Linked DNA regions of Astyanax mexicanus. The protein of the gene in region 1 interacts with the protein of each later gene in a biochemical or structural test. Links are inferred from orthologs where the notes say so. Each region holds a gene or a part of one and is shown on either strand. Other genes may lie near its edges.

Evidence for each region.
Region 2: the proteins of myod1 (region 1) and csrp3 form a complex in vitro, tested with the Homo sapiens proteins (2 studies listed by BioGRID and IntAct, with this or other methods). The link is inferred for Astyanax mexicanus from reciprocal best matches to the Homo sapiens genes MYOD1 and CSRP3.

Annotation. Positions count from the first base shown.
Region 1 is NC_064409.1:62,752,014-62,759,278, reverse strand, and holds myod1 (myoblast determination protein 1 homolog), read left to right. Parts: upstream 1-4,453; 5' UTR 4,454-4,716; coding exon 4,717-5,226; intron 5,227-5,434; coding exon 5,435-5,513; intron 5,514-5,633; coding exon 5,634-5,860; 3' UTR 5,861-6,755; downstream 6,756-7,265. Other genes in the region: zgc:172145 (ferritin light chain, oocyte isoform-like), read left to right, coding at 1,005-1,151, 2,282-2,575. UniProt on the Homo sapiens protein: Acts as a transcriptional activator that promotes transcription of muscle-specific target genes and plays a role in muscle differentiation. Together with MYF5 and MYOG, co-occupies muscle-specific gene promoter core region during myogenesis.
Region 2 is NC_064423.1:343,331-350,654, reverse strand, and holds the start of csrp3 (cysteine and glycine-rich protein 3), read right to left. Parts: upstream 3,027-7,324; 5' UTR 2,921-3,026; intron 2,657-2,920; 5' UTR 2,550-2,656; intron 713-2,549; 5' UTR 693-712; coding exon 581-692; intron 1-580. Other genes in the region: transcription factor E2F8, read left to right, coding at 5,668-5,751, 6,600-6,851. UniProt on the Homo sapiens protein: Positive regulator of myogenesis. Acts as a cofactor for myogenic bHLH transcription factors such as MYOD1, and probably MYOG and MYF6.

The DNA of each region.
Region 1 (7,265 bases):
ATTTCCCTTTGAAGTGTGAGAAGGCCCAGCAACATTGTACATGATAACCCCTTTCCACAGCAATCATTTAATTTTAGACAGGGTTTAACATTTAAATTTCATTTCATCGAAAAATACGTAAAAAAAAAAAAAAAAAAAAAAAAAATTAAGCTAGAATAAGGGATTTGTTTTGGAAAACAATTTCTTTTAATATTATATATCCCAGTAGCATAATAATAAATCAGATGATCTCACTATAAAAAAGAAAATAAATATTTTAAAATACATAAATGAAAGTATAAATACTGGGCCAGTCATTTGGAATGACTGAAGCTTTGAAACTAAGTGAATTCATTAAATGGTCTCCTACCAGCCTGTTTAACTGAGCTAGATATACCAGAACAGCGGACAAAGAAAAGACAAGGACGACTTCCTCGCTTCTGCAAAGTCACCTACTTAAATATTACACAGTCTGTATTTTAATGAGTTTTGCATCAGTTATAATTTATTGAGTTTTCATCCTAATATTGTTTCTACTGCCAGTGTTATGAGCACTTCCTTGTTTGGCCTACAGGGGCCCTAAGCTCTAAACTATACCATACATTGAATAACCTTGATTATTCTTGATAATCAAAATTAAGTATCTACAATACCAAATTACAAAGTAATCGTAGTGCTAGTTTAAAAAAATCACTCCTGTGTTCATTATGTGCCACATTAAATATTAGTTGTATAAAATGTAAGCGAATATTAAGCTCAACTAAGGAAGCTGGAGCAGATGTTTTCGTTGCAGTGGCACAGACATTCAACATTTCATAATGAATTAATGAAGGCATGTTAAGTCAAATGGCTTTCAGAAATGCTTCAAAATGGTCTACAAAAATGAATACAAATAATAAAAATTAGGTTTTTATTTCTTTCTTTCCTATAAAAATGCCACTTTAGAGGTAGTGACAGTAAGATGTTATGGTACTGTCCTCTGTTCAGAATTGAACGGAATAAATTGTGGGTATTGTATATTTCAGGCCAAGATTTTTGAGCAAGATGACCTGGCTTTGCCACGTGTGGCTGCATATTTCTATCTGGAGTCCACAAGAGAGCAGGAGCAGGCGGAAGCCATGCTACACTACCTGTCCGAGCGTGGAGGACAATACTGCAGCAAAGATATCCAGGTAAACCTTGCTGTCTATGCCCAGCATATCATGTGCTGTAGTGTTACTGTGAAATATGGTGAATAAAGATGTTTCTTGTCTTCTTTATAAAATAATAGTAGAATGCCCCTTTTCAGGTTTTGATTCTTCACTTTTTATCACTTTTTCGGTCTCACTGTTAGGAAACAAAAGTTTTCACAGATCTGCAGGATTATTTTACTGCCCACAGTTACTGCCAACATTGTATCCTCATCATATTACCTCTGTACCTTTAAAAATATTTTTTGGAGGGGCTCTTGACTGGATAGGCCAGCAGTTTAGGAGGAAAAGGGGTCAGAGAGAGAGAGGAGGATAAACCCCTGTGGGCTTTGCAGGGATCTCTTCTCTAATGCCTGTCAGGGTATACGTTTTCCCTGAGTTCCGGAAAATTGGGGAGATTAATGTGAAAGCGGAAGGACAGTGCATTAATTGTAGTTCCAGATGTACACTATGGCACTGGCTCTGCTGCCACTTCAGCCTGGGTCCTCTCTTTTTTTCCAACCTCCTCCTCTTCCCTAGTTTTATGACTCATGTAAAATTGATCCGGAGTGAGGCTGGTGAGGGTCCATCAGCAGCAATTTGGAACACCTTGTTATCCGCTGATGCATGGAGAGACGAAGGCGTGAGTGAGTTTAAATGGAGCTGGTTGAGTTGCTTGATTGTGAAATTGTATGCATATAAAAAAATATATATTATTATTTTAGCCATACAGATATTTTTAATAAGTACATGCAATAGATTTAAATTGATAGTAAAAATGGTACAAATAGTATAAAAACACTATCATTTATAAAGTCTGAGATAAAGAAAAGTTTTATATTTGAATGCAATCAAGACAGTGGGATCTAAAATCAGAGATTGTGGATAGGGTTTAAACACAACATGAACCACTGACTGTCTCCAATCTTTACATAGAAACCAGTGATTAAAAATCAATACTGTTTTTTTAAGCGATACAGTATTGCTTGTCTATACATTCGCTGTTAGTTTTAAAATTAGTAGAACTACACATCTGAGCAGTTTGTGTGTGTGTGTGTGTGTGTGTGTGTGTGTGTGTGTGTGTGTGTGTGTGTGTGTGTGTGTGTGTGTGTGTGTGTGTGTGTGCTATGCAGAGACCAGGGACAGAGCAGGTGTGTGCGCTGCTCCCTGCCCTGGAACTCCTGCTGGGCCAGTGGAAGGAGGAGATGGCCATCATGGTGGAGCTGTCTCAGCTAGCACGTGAACATGGAGACCCCCACTCTGCCAGTGTCCTCAAGAGCCACTTCCTCCAGCCTCTCGCACCAAAGATCAAGCTGCTAGGTGACCTCTTGACCAATGCTCGAAGACTGGGCTGCACCAGTGATGGTGCTGGAGGATATGGAGAGTACCTCATTGACCAGCTCTATGAGGAGCTGGCCAGTGCCTAAATGTCCTGTAAAGCCCCTTGTTGATGCATTAATGGCCTGACTAGCAGTTATTTCCTATCAATACTTTCTGCACTGTTAGATCCCGTGCTCAGCCTGCATGGAGTGTGTTCTGTTTGTGGCATGAAAGAGATGATTTGTGGGTTTCTTGAATGGCGTGTTCTTGAAGCTTGGTATTACCTTTCCCCACAGCTGAAAAGTACTGAGCAAGTGGAAAATAATGTGAATTTCCCATATTGTCAAAAGAAGTGCTAAAAACACGGGAGAGATTATTAAAAATGAATGACTAAGAGAAATTTTGACAAGTTTGATATGTTTTTTAGTGACTATGAATGTGTTTTTGTAAAAACAAAAAGCCTGTAGAGTGGAACAAAACTTGCTGTTTTACATTAAGAAGTGCCCTATATGAAAAAAAATTATGCAGTATTTTATAGACAGAATTTGATTCATTGTTATATTTTTTGACTGACACTGATTAAATGTTTTGGTCTGGATTGTGTATTGGAGGTTTAGATTTTTAATCTCACACTCCACCTATTTTTTTAGAAGTATTTTTAATCATTTCTGTTGCTTTTAAAGCGTGTTTTGTGATGGGTTCTGCGTGTTTGTATTGTGTTTGTATGTGTGGAAGACAAGAGTTTCCTTCTTTGCACTGTTACTTTTCTTTGTGTTCATGTGTGTGTTTTATGTAGGATTTAAGCCATAAACCAATAAAATCTATTGAAACTGTTAAATTAAAGTCTCAAGTATGATTTAATAGTGGGGCAACAGTTTCTTAAACACCAGAGAGATAACTCTGTTAAGATTATTCCTTGTTAAAAAGGAGCTGTGAAAGCTGTGATTTTGTCACTTGTAAATGGGATTATAACCCAGGCCTCTCTCCCGGTGGCTCACTGGCTCATTACTGCCATCTGTTGGTGGACCCATGGCACTGTTGGCTTCTATTTCTGAGACAAACTAAATACAGTAGGCTAGTACATGTTATAAGTAGCCTATGAACCGAATGAACTCCTAAAATGAATTTCCCCTGTCAGAATTTTTTGATTTATTCATGTATTCTTTTCTTAGAGGTCTGACTAAAATAACTTTGTCTGTACTAATTAGACTTCTCAGCAAATATTAATCAGAGAAAAAAAGAAAGAAAGCTAAGATAGAATAGATATTCCAGTAGTGTAGATGATCTGTACTTATAGCAGACACTACAGTCAAAATATTTAACCTTGCTTTACGTGCCCACTTTTTGTAGCTGTGTAATGTATCGAATGTAATGTAATACTAAAGGATTTGCTGCTTCAGAGTCTCAGGGGTTGTTTGGAAGTGTGTGTTCCGGAATTAGAAAATAAAAACAGAATTAAATGGGTGGTGGAGTTTCAGTATTAGAATGATATATTAAAGCCAACTCAGTTTAAAACATTTTAGTATATATTAACTTATGTACTACATATAAATATAGACCATTTCACTGCATATATTGTGCGCTTCCATGCGCTTACATTATGTGTTTCTTAGAAGTCAGACTTACTAAGAAACACACACAGCATATTTTGGTTGCTTACAGGATTTGCTATGTAAAAAATATTATGAAAAAGTTTAATTTCTTTTCTTATTCATATTAATTCAAGTAAACCATAGACTAAATTTCAATCTCCAGGTATGTTTTAAGATTCTCAGCATTATTTTTCAGTCTTCCAATTCTTAAATTCTGAGTTTTTCAAATCTGACAAATTTTTCACTCTAACCTTTATTGTTGTCTTTAGTGTTCGTCCGGCACAAACGACCCCTTCCAGCCCCCCATCGCCTCGGCCAGGGCGTTTATTGGCCTGCGGTTCAGGCCAAGGCCACTCCCCACCCAGCTGCCGGCCCATATAAACTGGCCTTTTCGCCTCCTCAGCAACAAGTAGCTGCAGGCTGCACTGGGACAGGAGTTGGTGGAGCCCTACCTGCAACACTCACTCATTCCCTCTCTCTTGTCTTTCACTCACTGCAGACATTAAGAGTGTGTGTTTAAACAGGACAGAAACCTGACAGAAAGTGTCTGAGCGCATTGGAGGCTCTCTGGAGTGTTGGCTCAACTCCTACCTTATTTTACACACTTAAAAAAAGTTTCATCACTTTGGTTTTTTGGGGGGTCAGAAAAAAGAGAGATGGAGCTGTCGGATATCCCGTTCCCCATCCCGTCCGCGGACGACTTCTACGACGACCCGTGCTTCAACACCAACGACATGCATTTCTTCGAGGACCTTGACCCACGGCTCGTGCACGTGAGTCTGCTCAAACCGGACGAGCACGGCCACGCGGAGGACGAGCACGTGCGCGCGCCCAGTGGCCACCACCAGGCGGGCAGGTGTCTCCTGTGGGCGTGCAAGGCTTGCAAGAGGAAGACGACGAACGCGGACCGGCGGAAGGCCGCCACCATGCGGGAGAGGAGGCGCCTGAGCAAAGTGAACGACGCCTTCGAGACGCTGAAGCGATGCACGTCGGCCAACCCCAACCAGAGGCTGCCAAAGGTGGAGATCCTGAGAAACGCCATCAGCTACATCGAGTCCCTGCAAGCTCTGCTGCGCAGCCAGGAGGACTCCTACTACCCGGTCCTGGATCAGTACAGCGGGGACTCGGACGCGTCCAGCCCCAGGTCCAACTGCTCCGACGGCATGGTGAGGAATCTGAGATCTCTAAAGACTTTTACTGTCAGGAGCTGTCACTTTGATCAACTAAACCAGACTCTAGTGTCAACTCTTTTTTAGTTACTCTTTTGTTACTTTATATTACAATAATAATATTATTTAGACTATATTGCCTATAACTCTAAAATATTTTGTTTTGTTGATTCCATTTAATTGATGTATTTATATTTTCTTTCAGATGGATTTCAACGGCCTATCATGTCCATCTAGAAGAAGAAACAGCTATGACAGTTCCTACTTCAACGAGAGTCAAAACGGTAAGATACCACCCCAAATAAATAATCAAGCATGAAACGTCACGAGACATTTTATAATAATATATTCAAGTGAATCAACAACTACAAAAAATAACATCTGATTCTTTCTCATTTCTCCAGTAGATGTGCGGAGCAGTAAATCCACAGTAGTGTCCAGTCTGGACTGTCTCTCCAGCATCGTGGAGCGAATTTCCACGGAAGCGCCCGCATGTCAGCCGCTCGCGACGCACGAGCCGTCGGACTGCAGCAGCACCAGCAGCCCGCGTTCTCCGCACGATGCGCCCGCGCTCAGCGAGACGGTACCGAGCACTCCCTCCCCCGGGAACGCCGTGTACCAAGTCCTGTAGAACACACACACAGACATGCACACACTCATACATACATACACACACGCGCGCGCGGTGTACAGGAGCCTTCAGGACTGTGCTGTTCCTGTGCGGGAGAACAGAAGTGGGAGAACATAAATTTTTACCTTTATCCTTTCTTTCGTTCTCTTTTCTCACACTATCTTCATTTTAATTCATTTAGTCTTTCCTGGATCTTTATTTTTATTTTATTTTTTCTTTCCTTTATTTTCCTGGTTTCTTTTTCCTTTATTTCTTCCTTCCAAACTTTTCTTTCTTCGTTCTTTCCTGTATTTCCACACTTTTCTTTTTATTTATTGTCCTTCTGTTTTTAGTCCGATCTTTTTTCAGATGATATTCATTTAGGTTTTTCTTTCATTCTCTTCACTCTTTCTTTGTACTTTTATACATTCTTTCTTCATTATTGTATTTGTATTTATTTCTTGTTGTTCGGACTTTTTCTTTCTTTCTTTCTTTCTTTCTTTCTTTTTCTTGTCCTTTACTATTTTGTATCTTTTTATTCTATCTTTTTTCTGTAGAAAATATAAAATTCCATGGTATCGATGGCTCTGCCGAAGTCAGTTTCTTAAAACCTTTTATTTATATGATTGTCAGCTGCAATATTGTGACCATATCTTCCCTTGTTGAACCTCTTCTTTCTGTCTCCTTCATCTTTTACGATTTCCTGATTGTTCATGTGAGAAAACACTTCATCTATGAGAAGTAGAGGACCAGTTTTGTATATGTGTATATAAGAGCTGTTTTGTTAAAAGGAGAAGTGATCAAACTTTGTATTTAATGCTGCCTGTGTGAGGAGTTTGTTGTGTCCGACGTTTATATTTATACTTCTTCAGTGAGTGAATGTGGATTAATAAAGAAATACTTATTTATACACACACCTGCTCTCGTCTGATCTTTTTTTTAAAGGCTCTCATCTGTTTTTAACAATTTAATCATAACATATATATTTCAAAGAGCATTTACTTTAAATATTAATTTAAATTGTATTTTATTTTTATAAGCACAACTAAATGTCGCTTTAACTTAGTCAGTTTATTTGTTCGTCTTCATATATCTTTTTTTCTTATATTTAAATTAACTCCAAAACGTTCGAATAGTTTGACTAACATAAAATATTTGCCATTTAAAAAAAATGTTTTGTATTGCCGATTGTTATACCCAGCGTGTCATAAATAATTATATAAACAACGCATAACTATGCGTATATGCATAACCTAATGACAAATTAGTTCATTTCTAAACGAACTACTAAACGCAGCAGTATGATCCCACAGATTTACTAAATTATTTTTCAAATAAGTCTTCTTTTTATTTAACAAATTAAGTTAATGAACATGCAGTCAGGTTAAATTAGTCACAGTTGAATTTCTGCTTGTTACTGTATAAA
Region 2 (7,324 bases), on another chromosome or scaffold:
TTCTCCACATCAGCCCGACTTCCTCTTCTTTCTCCTTTATCCTGTGAGAGTTTGTATTAATAATTTTTGGTTTTAAATAAAGAGTTTTTTTTGCAGTAATGTATTTTTGTTTAAATAATAATAATAATAATAATAATAATAATAATAATAATAATAACAATACCTAGACATGGAACAGTTGCGGTCAGTGTGAGTGTGTTTGTGTGTGTGTGTGTGTTAAAGAGATGTGAGCAAGCTAAGCTCTGCACTTTGTTGTGCATTGTGTCATATTCGTTATCAAGTTCTGTAAAAACTGACACCAATAAATCCATAATTCCTGGAATTTAATTATTTAGGAGTATTTTATCCAGTAGGAGTATTTTATTCAGTAAGACGGAATATTGTAGAGAATTGTACTGTAATATTTAAGTGTAATATTTGAGTATCACAGAAACACAGTATAGTGATATCATCGTTATGATGGGAAATGTATTGTGATAATATCGTATCTTGAGATATCCTGTGATTCCCACTCCTAGCTCTGACTATGCAGGATTTTGTAGGATCACAGCTTGTATAAAAAGGTGAACTCGTGTCTCACTGCAGATGAAGCAGGGTTTGTGGAAGCTCCGCCCATTACACTGGATTTCCTCAGCGTGGTACACGGTTTTCTCACAGGCTGCACACTTAGCACCCCCGCCCCAGTTCGGCATCCTCGGATCAGGGACTAGATCTACAGGAATCAGAACAGAAATAAAAGCATCCTCAGATAACAGCACTGTATGCATTAACATAAAAAAATAATCCTCTGCAGGATTTATTTACATGAACTTCTTTGTGAAATGTGGTGTAAGACATTATGAATGAAGTGTATTTATTTATTCATCTTATCACTTTAAATCAGTTTTAAATAATGATAAACTATAAGCTACACCTACAACGTTATCATTTAATGAGAATTAATCCTAATTTATGATAATTAATCCTAATTGATTTACAACAACCTTTTGGTAACATCACAAGAACAGTAAAATGAAAACAGAGCCTGGCCAAAAAAAGTCTCCATTTGGAGTTCAGTAACAGTATGTGCTGAAAGAATGAGGTCAGCTGACTCTACCTGAATATACTGAATATAGACCAGGTTATTCCATCAATGGATTTTATCTTCCCTGATGAACACGAGCATATTCCAAGATGATAATATCAGGATTTATACAGCTGGAATTGTGAAAGAGTTCAGGGTTCAGGGAGCAGGAGATCATCATTTATCACACATGGATTGAGAGAGAGTTCACCACAGAGTCCAGATCTTAACCTCATTGAGAATCTTTGGGATGTGCTGGATGGAGAAGCGCTGCTTTGTGCAGTGGTCAGACTCTACCATCATCAATGCAATCACACTCGATTCGTATCCCTGTTTACTGCTGTTAAATGATGATCTATCATTTTTCTACTCTACTAAAGATTACTGATGGCTCACCTAATATTTTTTATTAAATATCCTGCCTAGAATGCAGTACTGACAGGATCAATAAAGCTCAGAAATCCACTGTTAACTCATGGATTGATATAATACAAGACATTAGCTGTCTTGTAAATATAAATATATATTATGTTGTTACTGTGAGTCAGAGTTTCTGCTCTCTGCCTCAACACTGTGGAATGTGCTGATAATCATCCAGAAATAGTTCCTTCAATGAAGCTACTGCTGATAAAAACACACACACACACACACACACTCACAGATCTGGCCTCTGTTTCAGTATATCTGAGTTTGAGTGAGTGTGATGGTGATTAGAGCTTCAGTCATCATCACCTATTGAACAATTTACCTCTTAAGAGTTAAACTATCCATATTATTACATTCAATAATATTATTGGTATTATTTAATATATGAACGGTTTCAGACCTGAATTATCTCCAGTGATGTAAAAATGTATGAATGCTGTTTTTGTCTGTAGTGCACAGAAAATAAGTATTTAATATTCTACTATAAAATCTATACAGCAAATAAATCCTATTGTGTAATATTTGGTATTTCATATTAACTATTTTGTTTCATAAACCATCCCTAAACAGTAAAAAATAAAACATGATTATTAGTAACCATTTAAATTAGCAGCTACTTTGCTTTAATGGCTCTAGTACTACCAGGCTACTATTTCATTGGTTTATTGGTTTACTGTTTTATTGGTTCATGGTCTATTCTGTTGCACAACAGCTCTCAAATAGTGTTATGTGCAACAAAACATAAATGGAGGGTAATGGATTGTAATGGATGCAGAGTCTGAAAGGGTTAATTACAGTTAAGTGTAAATGCAATTAAAGCTATTCACATTTAAAACATAACTCTTATCTGTTTAAAATTCCAGTCAATCAATCAAAAAGTGACTACAAACAGTAATAGGAATACATGTGTAAAGAGGTACCAAATACAATGGTACTAAATAGGCAAATACAATCTAACTAAGAGAGAAATTAAGCAACTAATGTTATATTTTATAAACTTTACTGTTAAAACATCAAAGTAATCAGTCAAATTTACACAAACAGTGACTACAGTACTTACAGACCAGCGGAACAGGAGGTCCAGAATCACCCTAGAGGCTCGGCCTGGCTCTCTGTCTGCCTCTGGCTCTCAGGGACCTCTCTTATATATGTTCATCTTTCAGAGCACTGAACGCACACACACACACACACACACACACACACACAGATTAGGCCATCTTCCTAAAATATACTCAGTTATATCTCTCATCTGTACTGAAGCCTTTACTCATACAGCAATTTTTACTTTAGATTACATTAAAAATCTCAATATTTACAATGGTGACAGATACCATCAGGCCCCGCCCAATTTGTATATCATTCTAATATGTTCTGGAATTATTTATTACAAATCCTGGTAGAGCTCAATATTTATATCCCTTTTATACTTACTGCAAGTGCACATTGATCTCTCTCCAGTCCTCACAGTGTTAGGAGTTCTTCCAGCTACTTTCATTCTATCTAAACACAAAAAAATCCACATTGGTAGCATTTTAATTTGTGTAACGAGGTGGCTCATTTTGATGCATTGGGGGAAAAATGCTCCTGCTCCCACACACTGGATTAAAGATGCACTGTACTTTATGAAAACAGAAAAAATGACGACACCCTAAAAGGATATATAGTTAACTATTACACTATAAACCCACAGTTTGTTTGAGCTCAAATGAAGTAAGTCTGTGTTATGTCATATCATACTTATATTTACAAACATTGCTCAACTACTTTGAGTTTGGTAAACATTCGCAGCCACATATGTATTCACAATAACTCACATGAGTTGAATTATTTTATAATAACTGAATGTATTCTGTTGCCAGTGGCAGCTTCAGTTGATTCAACTTCTGTTCTGCCACCATGTTTATACAAACTGGGCGTGTACCACAGTTTCTGACGCTGTGTGTAGCCATTCCCTAAGCTACCTTATGTAAACGTGTAGATGATATATTATGTGTATGTATTACTAGTTGTCTGCTGTTAAAACCAGCATTAGGTTCTGAGCTGCTAACTCAGTGTTGTCTGTGTTGAACTTTAATGCTGTTCATTTAGTAGAAATGTCTTTTTCCAGCTAATTTTCAAATCAATAATTTTGGTCAATAAAAAAATAAATAATAGTAGAGTAAATATAAACCTGTTTTATCAAAGAAATGTTAAATTATTGTGCAAAGTAACTGATATCACAAAAAAGAAATGTAATTAACTTACAATGTATGCATAATAACTAACATTCATTAAAAACATGAGGAAGCATTAAAAGAAGCACATATCGATATGTGACATAACTGGACACAACACTCGACCCTGTTCAGAACTTTATGTACTTAGTAAATATGTACTTTTATCCTCTGGGTGTACGTGTACGTGTGTGGGGGCGGGGTGTGGGCGGAGTTATGGGCGGGTCAGATCTGCCCGGCAAATTCAGAGCGGGACGCGGGCAAAGGAGCGCGCACATATACACAGACACCCGGGAAAACCGAACCAGGACCTTCATATACCCGGGAAAATCGAACCAGGACCTTCATATACCCGGGAAAACCGAACCAGGACCCTCAGCGCGCTGGAAAATCACTAAAACTGGAGAAATCCGTATTTATTTACAGCCAGCTTTACTGTAGCGCTGTACAGAGAAGCACAGCTGGAGGACTGATCTAACATACTGTAGGTTGAGTTACCTGTGTGGAATCTGCGGAGATATTCTTGCACTAAATTATTTGAGCTAAATCTACAAGAGGTGGAATCTATCTGCCGTTCTTATGGATTAATTTGCCTTCTTTCCTGCATTCTGGTCGGACCGTTTCTCCTGTACAGTCTACTGCTGACTCAGGTATGTTAACCTAATAAGCTAGCGAGCTAGTTTATATATAAAACATACTAAAGAGCTTTATAGTCACCCATAGCTAGCCTATGAATGCTTTTACAGAAGGGAGTAACTTATAATTAGTTAGCTAGTAAGGCTATTTAAGCTATCTGTGTAACACAGAATGAACACAAAGTTTTATTTAACCTAACTACGTAAAGCTAGCTAACTAGCTGGGTTAGATTACATTTGCGGAGTAACGTTAAACAACTACGTTAACTACTTACTAGCTAACCTAGATAGCGTTAGCTAGCTTCACTACTCAGTAATAACTAGTTTATCAGTGAACTTGCTGGCTGTTGCTGTAGGATCCAGCGTTTTAAAGCTATTTTAACATTATAAAAGTTACCGCCTCTCTGTGTTTAATAAAAACTCAGCTAGGTTAACGCTAGCAGTTCGTTTCGATATTTATACCTGGTTAATAATAAACATACCGCAGTGTAAGTTACGTAAGCTATGTTATATTTAGTAGAGTTTTAGTTGACTAGCTCAGCAGTTAGTTAAGTAACTTTAGATCTGTACGGAACTTATCTGCAGGTATTTATTATCCTGGTTTTGAGCTGCTGTGTTTCTGGTGTCCTGCGCTCTGCGAGGCTCCAAACCACTAGTTTTTGTACAAATTAATACAGTTTAAGCGCTTATTTCTTGTTAAATATCGAGTTTATTAGCAGTACAATCTAATCTGCGCCAATATATGCTTTAGTTTAGTTGTTTTATGCTGTTTTTAGCCGCTAATATCTTCTTCCGTTCCGATTGCGAAATTCCGCGCCAAGATTTTAAAAAGGTGAGAGCCTGCGCGCGACTGTCCGAAAACCCGCCCTTTGTCGCGCACCTATTGGCTGGCTTCTTCGCGGGGGGCGGGCTCACGTGTCCGTGCCCTGTCAGCAATTGGCTGATTGTAGTGGAAGGGCGTGTGCATCCGCGTAGTGCTGCTGCGTGATTCGTCGGATCGGGTGTCAGTTAGCGCCAGTCGGCTCCCGGTCATTTGAAATCAAAATAACTTTGATTTACGAAAAATACAAACAGTTTTATATAAGATTTTAATAAACCTGAACTAATTCAGTTCTCATAGGGGTGCACGATGCTTTCTCCCAGGTTATATAACGCTGTAAAAAAAAGGTATTTCTTGTTTGTAACCTAGATAACTCATACAGTTATCTTCCCTGTTCTATTTAAAATCTCAGATTTGCTAATAATGGCACTGATATGTTAGTTATAAGTGATTAATACTAGTATTTTTCCTAACGATCAATTCTTCTTTCTCAACACACGTAGGTGGAAAATGTCCAGCACCTTACTAAACGGCCAGCACTTAACCCAGCTCCCCCAAACGAGCCCCAACAAATCAGCAGCAGCTAATGAGAAGGTCAGTAAATGAGCTGATGAGCTGCTAATGGCTGTGTATAGTGACTGTGTGTGAAGAGAATTATATTCAGAGTTTGTGGAAGGAAAGAACATTCCCTTAGTCAAAAATCATCACTTTTGTAAATCCACACTCTTTAGATAAATATTGTGTACTTTTATGTAACATCTCCATCATTCGTGGGTCAGTGTAATAATTATCAGGTTAATATTCTGCAAAAGAGGAAAAAATAGAAAATCTAAAGAAAATAAATGATTTAACTGTTCCTGAAAATTATTCCAGAAAAGAAAAAAAAAATACAATTTAGTCAAAACTCATTTGTTCTTTACTATATTAAATGGGAAAAAAGTAATAATGGTACACACTTTTTAAAAACTATTTTTCTAATTTATTCTTTACTTCATATTTGCTTTTCTTTATTATATTTTATTATATTCTTCATAATAACTGCTCTGTTGTGGGAAAACCGGACCTTGAGAAAGCAATTTTGTTCCACCCCATGTTCCGCATGTGATGTACATGGCAATAAAGTCTCCTTCATACTTACTTGAAACATTAAACATACCAAGTTTTAATTTATAGTAACAGAATTGTTCTGACTGTTTATTTTATATAATGGGATAACTGTGAAATATCAACCCCTGATTAAAGATATATTTCTATTTGATAATAGTTCAGGCAGTTATTTAATATTGAGCTAAATGTTTAGTTATCTGATTGTTATCTTCATTTTAGCCTACAGTATGCAGCCCTGCCCTTACTTTTTATTGTATAAACCAGCCAGTCTGCATTAAAAATTCCGTTATTGTTATTGTGCACTAACAACCGAACTCTGGCTTCATTATTTACAGAAAACGGGTGTGTTTGTGGAACCGCAGACACCCGGGAAAACCTCGGGGAAATCTGCCCCTCTGGAAAATCTGAAAATAATGGGTCCCCTAACAACGCCCACTAAAGGCCCGGACGCTCCTACAGGGGAGCCCTGGACCCCTACTTCTAATCTAAAGATGCTGATCAGTGCGGCTAGCCCCGAGATACGTAACCGTGAGAAGGAAAGAAGTGCAGACAACATAAAGGCAGACGAAACAGAATGCTCTTCTCAGGTACTTCAACCATTTCTAACCTGTCTTCTAAAGCCTTGTTTATTAAACTTAGTCCTGGAGGGTATTTCACAGGGCAGGATGTCTTTGTTTAGATTAGAGGTTGTTAATCTTTCTTTACTGTGAGACCCCTTTTTTAGGATTCTAAACACTTCATGATCCCATCGAAACTCCCCAGCCTATATTTTATATTAAAATCTTTGCTGAAGTTCACTTTTACTAAACTAAACTTTATTTTTATATGACTATATTTCCTACACAATTACAATTCTGCCACAGTTTTGCATCTTCAGCGCCGTGTGGCACATTAAAGATCATAAGAGAAGTAACGCATAAGATGAGTAATGTATAGTAGCTCTATTTCAACTCTTTAAATCATTTGTGACCTTGTTTTAGGTCACGTTTTACAAAAGCTAAATAACTTTATTTATTACTCTGGTATTTATTGTCTCATTGTTAGTCAAATATATTCATAT